Caenorhabditis elegans: one gene and its partner. The protein of the gene in region 1 interacts with the protein of each later gene in a pairwise test. Each region holds a gene or a part of one and is shown on either strand. Other genes may lie near its edges.

Evidence for each region.
Region 2: the proteins of Y38E10A.3 (region 1) and elt-7 interact in a two-hybrid assay, tested with the Caenorhabditis elegans proteins (one large-scale study listed by BioGRID).

The regions. Positions count from the first base shown.
Region 1 is NC_003280.10:12,573,464-12,577,006, forward strand, and holds Y38E10A.3 (Intraflagellar transport protein 81 homolog), read right to left. Parts: upstream 1,306-3,543; coding exon 574-1,305; downstream 1-573. Other genes in the region: Y38E10A.2 (Cellulase), read right to left, coding at 1-66; clec-8 (C-type LECtin), read right to left, coding at 2,246-3,030, 3,103-3,234, 3,284-3,425.
Region 2 is NC_003283.11:4,768,886-4,773,689, reverse strand, and holds elt-7 (Transcription factor elt-7), read right to left. Parts: upstream 3,021-4,804; 5' UTR 2,977-3,020; coding exon 2,855-2,976; intron 1,977-2,854; coding exon 1,691-1,976; intron 1,638-1,690; coding exon 1,552-1,637; intron 907-1,551; coding exon 804-906; 3' UTR 604-803; downstream 1-603. Other genes in the region: C18G1.9 (FERM domain-containing protein), read left to right, coding at 3,995-4,032, 4,079-4,175, 4,727-4,804. UniProt on the Caenorhabditis elegans protein: Transcriptional activator that binds to the consensus sequence 5'-[AT]GATA[AG]-3'.

The DNA of each region.
Region 1 (3,543 bases):
CATTGCGTTGTACCAGCTTATTTGTGACGATATTCCTGGAAATTCAGTCTTAAAGTTCCAAGCCATGGGAGTGGTGGTTGTAGTCTAAAATCAAAAATAAATCGATACCTTCCACAAATTACGAACCTCGACCACGGGACCAAGTATATCAAAACTGAAAAGTAAAAGGAACATAGCTTTGAAAGAGCAGGATATTTTTTTGAATATTTCTGGCAAGCCGTTCAAAACAAGATGACAGAATTTTCGCAAAAAGTCCGACTAGTCGCATGGATACCAAAAGCTCTGAAGCTTGCTTTTTGCGCAGATTTTATTCGGAATAAAGACTTAAGACTCTGGCTTTTTTATATTAACGATGTAGTTCTCGTTTCACCATTTTATTTAACTTCATAATTCAATTGTATAAAATTGAAATAAAGTTCAATAAAATTCAATTCAATTTAGTTTTCCCGTAGTTTTCATACTCCGCTCAATGAGTGACGTGCCTTTATTTATCAATTAGATCAGATCATTAGAATAATTTTATTAATGGCTTATTGATTAAACGGCAAATAACAATTATTTCCATAAAATTAATTATCCGAGCGATGCGTAGTAATTCAATAATTCATGTCTTTTCTGAAGCTCCAACAGTTGGATGTTACAATCAATCTCCATCTCTTCACATTTTTCAGTAGAGTCTCGCAATTGTCCGAGCAATTCTTCGCTCTTGGCGTTCATATTCTTCACAAGCGTCTTCATTTCATCGCGAAGTAGATCAGCTTCTCTTCTTGCAGCACTCGTTTCTTCTTGAATTCGGCACTTTTCAGCACAATTTTCAAAATAATTATATTTGTTTTCAGCCATCAGTTTTTCCAGTTCTTCTTCCTTTTGTCTCAAAACTTCCTTGACAGTTCGAATTTCGAATTGAAGATAATCCGCGACTTGATCCCGAGATGGTTGGTCGAGCTGGATGTTCATTTGATAGAGCTTCGTGACTTCTCTTGTAAAACGACATTTTTCCTTCTCATCTGCCAAATCGGTTTTTAACTGCTCTTGAACTGCATTCGCGATTGCCAGTTTGCTCCCTTCCAGTCCAATTTCTTCTTTTAAAACTGTAACTTGCTTCTTCAAACTCTGAATTTCACGCTTAGAAATGTCTTCCGAAAGATTGCGCTGGGCTGGCAAGTTACCGAGCGCTTCGACTTCCAGCTTCACTTGGAACGTCTTTAGCAAAGCATCCTTCTCTTCTTTTTGCTTGCGAAGCTTCTGAGCCTCGACTTGAGAAGCATACAATAGTACTTTGAGATACTCGAGCTCTTCGGACATTTTTTTTGTTGTGAAGGAGACTGGAAAATTGCTTTTGTTAAGAAAAATAGCAAAAAAAAAGCAACTTTGTAAACGGCAGTTTAAAAAAATTAGCAATTGCACCATGTTGTTTCATTTTTTTTAAAATTAAATTTTGATGTCAAAGTATAGAAAATTATTTGATTTATATGGAAAATAACATTGATTTTAGTTGAAATATTTGAAAAAAAAGTTTTTAAAAAATGAGCCCGGAAAATTGAAAATTTATCGAATTATCAAACTTGGCTTTCTTGACAGTCGCCAACTTTCAGGCCAGTTTTGAGCACTTTTTTGAACGTGCCAAATTAAATGAATGTTTTTTTTTCAGATTTTACCAAGTAATTTTCTATATTTTGACATAAATTTTTAATTTAAAATGTTGGATCAACATGGCGCATTAGTTAATTTTGTAACATTACCAAAAATGCCAAAAATGAAAATGGCAAGATTGGTCGAGAAAATATTAAAACATTGAGAAAAATTGCGAATCCTGTACGACAACTGTTACTCAAATGAAACTGTCTATTTAGGCCGGAATAACGTGGGTAATTGGGCGGAGAAGACTGGCTGGAAGGTCGATAGGGAAGGGTCTGGAGATGAGAGAGACAACTTGGTACATAGGCCAACTTGGTACATAGACCAACTTGGTACATAGGCCAACTTGGTACATAGACCAACTTGATACATAGGCCTACTTGGTACATGGACCAACTTGGTTTATAGGCCAACTTCATGTCTTTTCCGTACACCGGAATATTGATTGTACATATTATAATTTTTATGGTCATAATAATTTTATGACCCTTCTAAACACATTGATGGTTGAATAGCGTAGATTTGTAAGATATCTTATCCCCTATTGCCTGCCTTCCCGACAAACAAACATATGGTGAAAATAATAGGCTGTACTTTAATATTTTATTTAGAGCATTTGAACAAATTTCGAAAAAGTGGCACTAAACCCATAGCGAATATTTGAATCCTCAGAATTTCCCGATCGGAATGTCACCAGCATCGTGTTCCCAGTCGACACTAGATTGATCGGAGTTTCGTTGAATCCGCTGAACGATCCAAGCATCGGACTGCTAGTCGTCTCCCCATCGTACACCGTCACATAATCCAAATTCAGATTCGTAGAGAAATCGGTGAACTTCAGAAGGATGTTATAGGCTCCTGTTGTAGATAGTAGATAGCTACAGTACATGTTATTGTCGTAGTAGCCAGGGTATGCCGGTGAGGAGATGGTCCCAGGTGCCATGATCATAGAGCTATTGCACATTGATGGAATAACAGGAGTTGGCGGGGTCTCCGGTTCCACCCAAGGACAGGATGTTCCTGCAGGCCGCTTGCACAGGAAGCTATTACTTGCTTTACAATCAACTGGGTACCAGGAACCGGTGGGGACCATACTACCAGTTCCGGTAGACATGGCAAGACAAACCCCACCTCGTCGAGCTGTATGGTCTATATTGTGATAACTCCATGACGATCCGTCAAACCAGGTGTAAGAGCTGTTATAGCTCCAAGTGGCACCTATCAAGAGTGCAGAATAAGTGTAGAAGTTTGCATTGATGTATCTGTTCTCCATGGGTGAAAGGATTGAAGCAATGATTCCACAGTTCTCTTTGCAGATCTTCTGTGCGGATACAAATGGAAGTGGCGCGAAATCGAAGTAGCAATAGCCGTTGTAGTTCTTTTGGCATTGGTCTGAAAGTTTATAAATTTTTATGATGATTTGGCGCGAAATTAGAAATTCAAAATTTTAAGAATTCCCTTTACCTTCATTCGTTACCGGAAGCTCACATACAAACGCCCTTGACTCTTTTTCACAATCTCCACTGGACCACTGTCCCCTATCGAAAGCCACTTGGCTACTGTATACACATCTTCCTTTCTCCACCAATGGGAACCCTGAAAGATCCTTATTTTGTATAAAATATTTTTAATTTTTAATTCTTACCGCTCTTAAAGTTTTGAAACTGGTCGGCTGACCCGCTATCATCATCCCAGAAGCATTCCTTAGCGGAGCTCTTTGTGCAAAAGAGCCCTATCCAAATAGAGTTGGAAGCCCCACCAACGAAGATTGTGATTGCGCGATTGTCCTGTAAAATTTAAAATATCTTAGGCGGTCAACTATGGTAGGCAGGTCTGCCCATCAGGGCTGTGCGGCAAAAAAAACCGAGAATTGCCAAAGTCGCAGAACCCAAAAATTTTCGGCAA
Region 2 (4,804 bases), on another chromosome or scaffold:
TCTTTGTAACTGAGTTTGCTTTTCCATAGCTCGCCGCAGTTGCACTTTGGTGTTCGACAACTTCGTGACAATTACGTGACAACTTCGTGACAATTACGTGACAACTTCGTGACAACTTCGTGGCAACTTCGTGACAACTTCGTGACAACTTCGAGACAACTTCGTGACAACTTCGTGACAACTTCGTGACAACATCGTGCCAACTTCGTGACAACTTCGTGACAACTTCGTGACAACTTCGTGGCAACTTCGTGACAACTTCGTGACAACTTCGTGACAACTTCGTGACAACTTCGTGACAACTTTGTGACAACTTTGTGACAACTTTGGGACAACTTCGTGACGCTGTAAAGCCAAACGTAGTGTTACCTTCTTTCGCGAGCCAAAAAAACGCGAAAGAGGGGCGGAGTCTGCACACTCGGCATTTATTAGAGGCTGCTTGGCAGAATATAGAAATTGATGGTTTCATCTGTCCCTGGTCTCATCGTTTCAATTTCTACATTAAAGCCCACTTTTGTATTAATATCCCACATATCACCAATTTCTCATCTTATCATAGAATCTTTCAACATTATTATTTGTAACAATATTTGTATAAGTAGTATCTCTAACGTTTTATTTAAGAAAAATAATAATGAAGTTGACATTACAAATGTTTGAATATGGTAATATCAGTGGAAAAGATGACATAGATATATAATCTTTTTTAAAAAACGAATACAAATCAGCGCATAGAACACGGTACAATTGATGTAGAGGGATACGTAATATGCTGGAAAAATGGCGATACAGTCCAAACTTGTCTATTCTTTTTTTGCTTGACGCCGCTTTCGAGTAGTTGGCTTCTGCTTGCAGAGGGATAACGGGCGTTTCACTTTGTTGTGACGGTAATACAAGTTGCAAGCACTGAAAATATTACTTTAATAGTGGAACTAATGATGTATATTTAACTAGTCATTAAAATTAATAAAATTTTAAATTCGAAATTCTAAAAAATAATCGAAAATTATAAGCAAGTTCAACTGAGAATTTTTGATTTGGAATGTAAATGTTCTAAATGTTCGAAAAAATTCAGGGGTAGGCGGCAAGTGCCATTCGGCAAATTTTTTTGTCAACAAATTTGGCAAATCGATAAATTGCCGGTTTGCCATTTTGCCGGAAATTTTCATTTCCGACAATTTGCCGATTTTTCGGAAATTGAATTGATGATTTTTGTTTTTAGAGGGATTTTTTATAAGACGGAAACATTTAAAACTGTGCATTTTTGAAATGTTTTCTCCGTTTTCTTTAGATATTTTCACAGAACTTGCTTACTTTTCAGAATAGATGTAGGAACATTCATAGGATGCGTACAATTTTGCCGATTAAAATTGAAATTCGGAAATTTCCAAAAAAAATGTGCAAAACCACAAATTGCCGAAAATTTTCGGCAAATTCGGAAAATCGACAAATTGCCGGTTTGCCGATTTGCCGACTTGCCAGAAAAACAATCGGTTGCCGCGCACACCTGGTAGAAATAATATAAAAGAATATAATAAAATATAAACTTACTTGCACTCAAGATTCCCTTCATCATTTTTACGCCAAAGTGTGGTTGTAGTTGTTGAGCAGTGTGAGCAGCACGCATCACGAATTACCTGAAAAATTTCATATAGAAATATTTATTTCATTCTAAACCCTCGAATCCTACTTTTGCAATTTTCTTTCCCTTCTGTGAACCAAATCGGTTTCCAGATGATTCGTAACTGCTATCTTGCTCCACAAAGGATTTTTGCTCATTTTCATTTTTCGTCAAGCTTTCATCAAAAATAATTCTGGAATCTTCAAGTGGTTGTAATGGAGTAGTACACATTGACGACTGAATTGGTTGTTCGTATGGAGATGGAATTTGATAACTCTGGAATGGATCAAAGTGATGAGTTGAAGCATCTTGCCAAGTATTGTAGTACACGGGCTGCGGTGGGTAGACATATGGACTGAAAAGTTGGAGTTTTTATTCTCTCAAGCTGAGCTGAGTTTGTAGTACATTTGTGGTGCAGGAGACTAGGCAAAAGATTTGTAAGCAGTTGGTAAAATTTGGCAGGAAAAGTTAAGCGGAAAGTTGTTAAAATTTGTCAGAAAGTTGCCAAAAGTTTTGCAAGAAGTTGCCAAAAGTTGGAAAAAAGTTGCCAAATGTTGTCAAAAAGTTGCCAGAGCTTGGCAGGACGATGCCAAAAGTTGGCAAAAAGTTGTTAAACTTTAAAAGAAAGCTATCAAAAGTTGGCAGAAAGTTGCAAAAAGTTGTCAGAAAATGTCCAAAGATTGACAGAAAGTTGCAAAAATTTTGCAAAAAGTGTTAACATTTGAAAGAAAGTTACGAAAGGTAGACAGAATTTTTTAACTGCTTTGTAGGAAATTGTTAAACTTTGAGAGAAAGTTGGAAATTACCTACAATTGCCAAACAGGAAACATGTTAAGTCATACACTTTAAGCCATTCCCAGCATGAAACTCGTTTTTCAGACTCTCAAATTATAATAATAAACCTTAAAAAATATAATAATTCTCAAAGATTCCTATTCTCAAAAACACTGAAAACTACTGATTATAAGCAGTATACTTTGGAGCATTCGATATTGATTTTTATCAGTTATGCTACATGAGTTCAATAAAACATAGTTTTGGTCACATGTTGGAACAAAGTTGTTGTTTTTGTATACATTACTACAGGAAAGTAATATTTTGGTAGTAATGTAAAAACCATATAATTCTGTTGATAGTGAATATTTCAATTTAAGTTTGCCGTAAAAATAATACAATTACATTATGCAACATTTTTATGCACTGCAATAAAACAGTTTTGATTTCAAAACTTACTTTTGATTATATTGAAATTGATTAAATAAATAATAGTCCTCCATTGGACTTCTCGCTGGCGGCTCATTCATGATAGTCGTAACAGATGGAAGTGGTTGAAGAGTAGTAGTTTCAGGGAGCATTTTTTCCAGTCGACTAGAGCAGACAACTCTAACCACAAATGTCTGTCTTTGTTACAGGCAGGAAAGTAACAAAGAGCCCGGAGAGATCCTAGAGAAAGAGACAAAAAAGGTCAGAGTGATAAGATAGACCGGCGGCGGTGGTGATGGGGAACTGTGTGTGGCTCACCACCCATCATTAGTAGTTTATGATATAATGACTATGAACCTGGACGGCAAAGTTCTTAAAGGGAAGGAGAACGAAAGTAAATATGACTTGGGACTTTTATGGATAGTCGTAAATTAGTGGTAAGTCAGAGATGCATGTACCTATGCCTTGTGTGCCAGTGGACGAGCAAAAAAAGGAAACATGGGAAAGAGGGGGGGGGGGTGCGGCAAATCTCAAAATTTGCAGAGTCCGGCAAAACCGGCAAATTTGACAAATTTGCCCTGGTCGGCGAACCCGGAAAATCTCGATATTTTAAAACTATTTTTTGGATCACAAAATTGACGAAAAAGCTTTAAAAGTGTAGCATTCTGGAAAAAAAATTTTTTTTAAAGATACTCACAAAATTTTGTGTTATTTCATTCATTTCTTTCTTCTAAACTCAAGGCAAATTTTAGAGTATTCCGAGCTTAACAAATGGCAAATTGGACAAATTTGTCGCGAATGGGAAATCTTGTTCCAAGTTGAAATGCTGTGTCCTGGAGGAAGTGTGCAATTATTTTTTTTTAAGTTGAAGTAATGTGCAAAAGGGGCATAAACTGATTGTGAGAGTGCATAGTGTTTATAATTTAATTCTTGTATTATCGGTAGCCTATTTCTAACGTGTTTTTTTTTAAAATACATATAATTTATTTAAAATGAATGCTTGAAAAATCAACATGGAATGTAGTTTTACGTAAACTGTATTTTTCTATTAAAAAAAGTGTAGATTTGGAAAAAGATAAGAATTCAGAACTGTGAGAGGCGATTTTAAATTCATTATTTTTATTCAAATTACTAGCATTCGCGGCTTCTCAACTAACCGACTAACCCCCAATGTGCGTCTCGAGACCAGGATTGAGTACAACTCGGAGGTAATATAAGGTATTAGAATTACGAGTTCTCAGTTAACCGCTACAGATCTCGACACGAAATTACTTACACCACACAAAATGAGGAATCTGCAGAAAATTGGTATAAGATGGCTAATTCGAATTTCCGATCGGCAGTGTTTGAGGTATGAATCCCGATTTTTATAATCGGAACTTTGTGCCTACAGTACCCGCATGTGTTTCAAAATTACCTCTACAGTTTATTTTTTCCACTTCTACGACTTTAAAGGAGGGCGCATTTATTCAAAATGGTCCCGCCACGCTCCACCCATTGGTCTCGCCACGCGCTTCAAAAATCAATGAATGGCGCGTGACGAGACCATTTTGAATGAATGCGCCCTCTTTTGAAGTCGTAGAAGTGGAAACAAATACACTGTACTTTTGCAATTTCGCTCAACTTTTCGCAATTAATAGCGCTAAAACTCCGGGTTTTTGAAAAAAAAAACCAAAAGTACGGGGAAATGGAGAAATATGTGCGCGGAAATACTGTACCTGGTCTCGGCACGATTGAAACCTTTCAGCTACCGTACACCACAAGTTTTCGTAATCGTCTATTTCTAGACTTTCACCAAATTCATAGCGCTAAAATGTGTTTTTAGTGAAAAATTGAGGAACATTTGCGGATACGATACCTAAAAAGACCCACTACCGTAACATAAACAAATATAATTTTCAGAACCGTGTCCACGTGTGGGCACTCCCACTGAGCTATTCTCAATCGAAATATGGTGGCCGGAAGACTCCCTCATCTGCT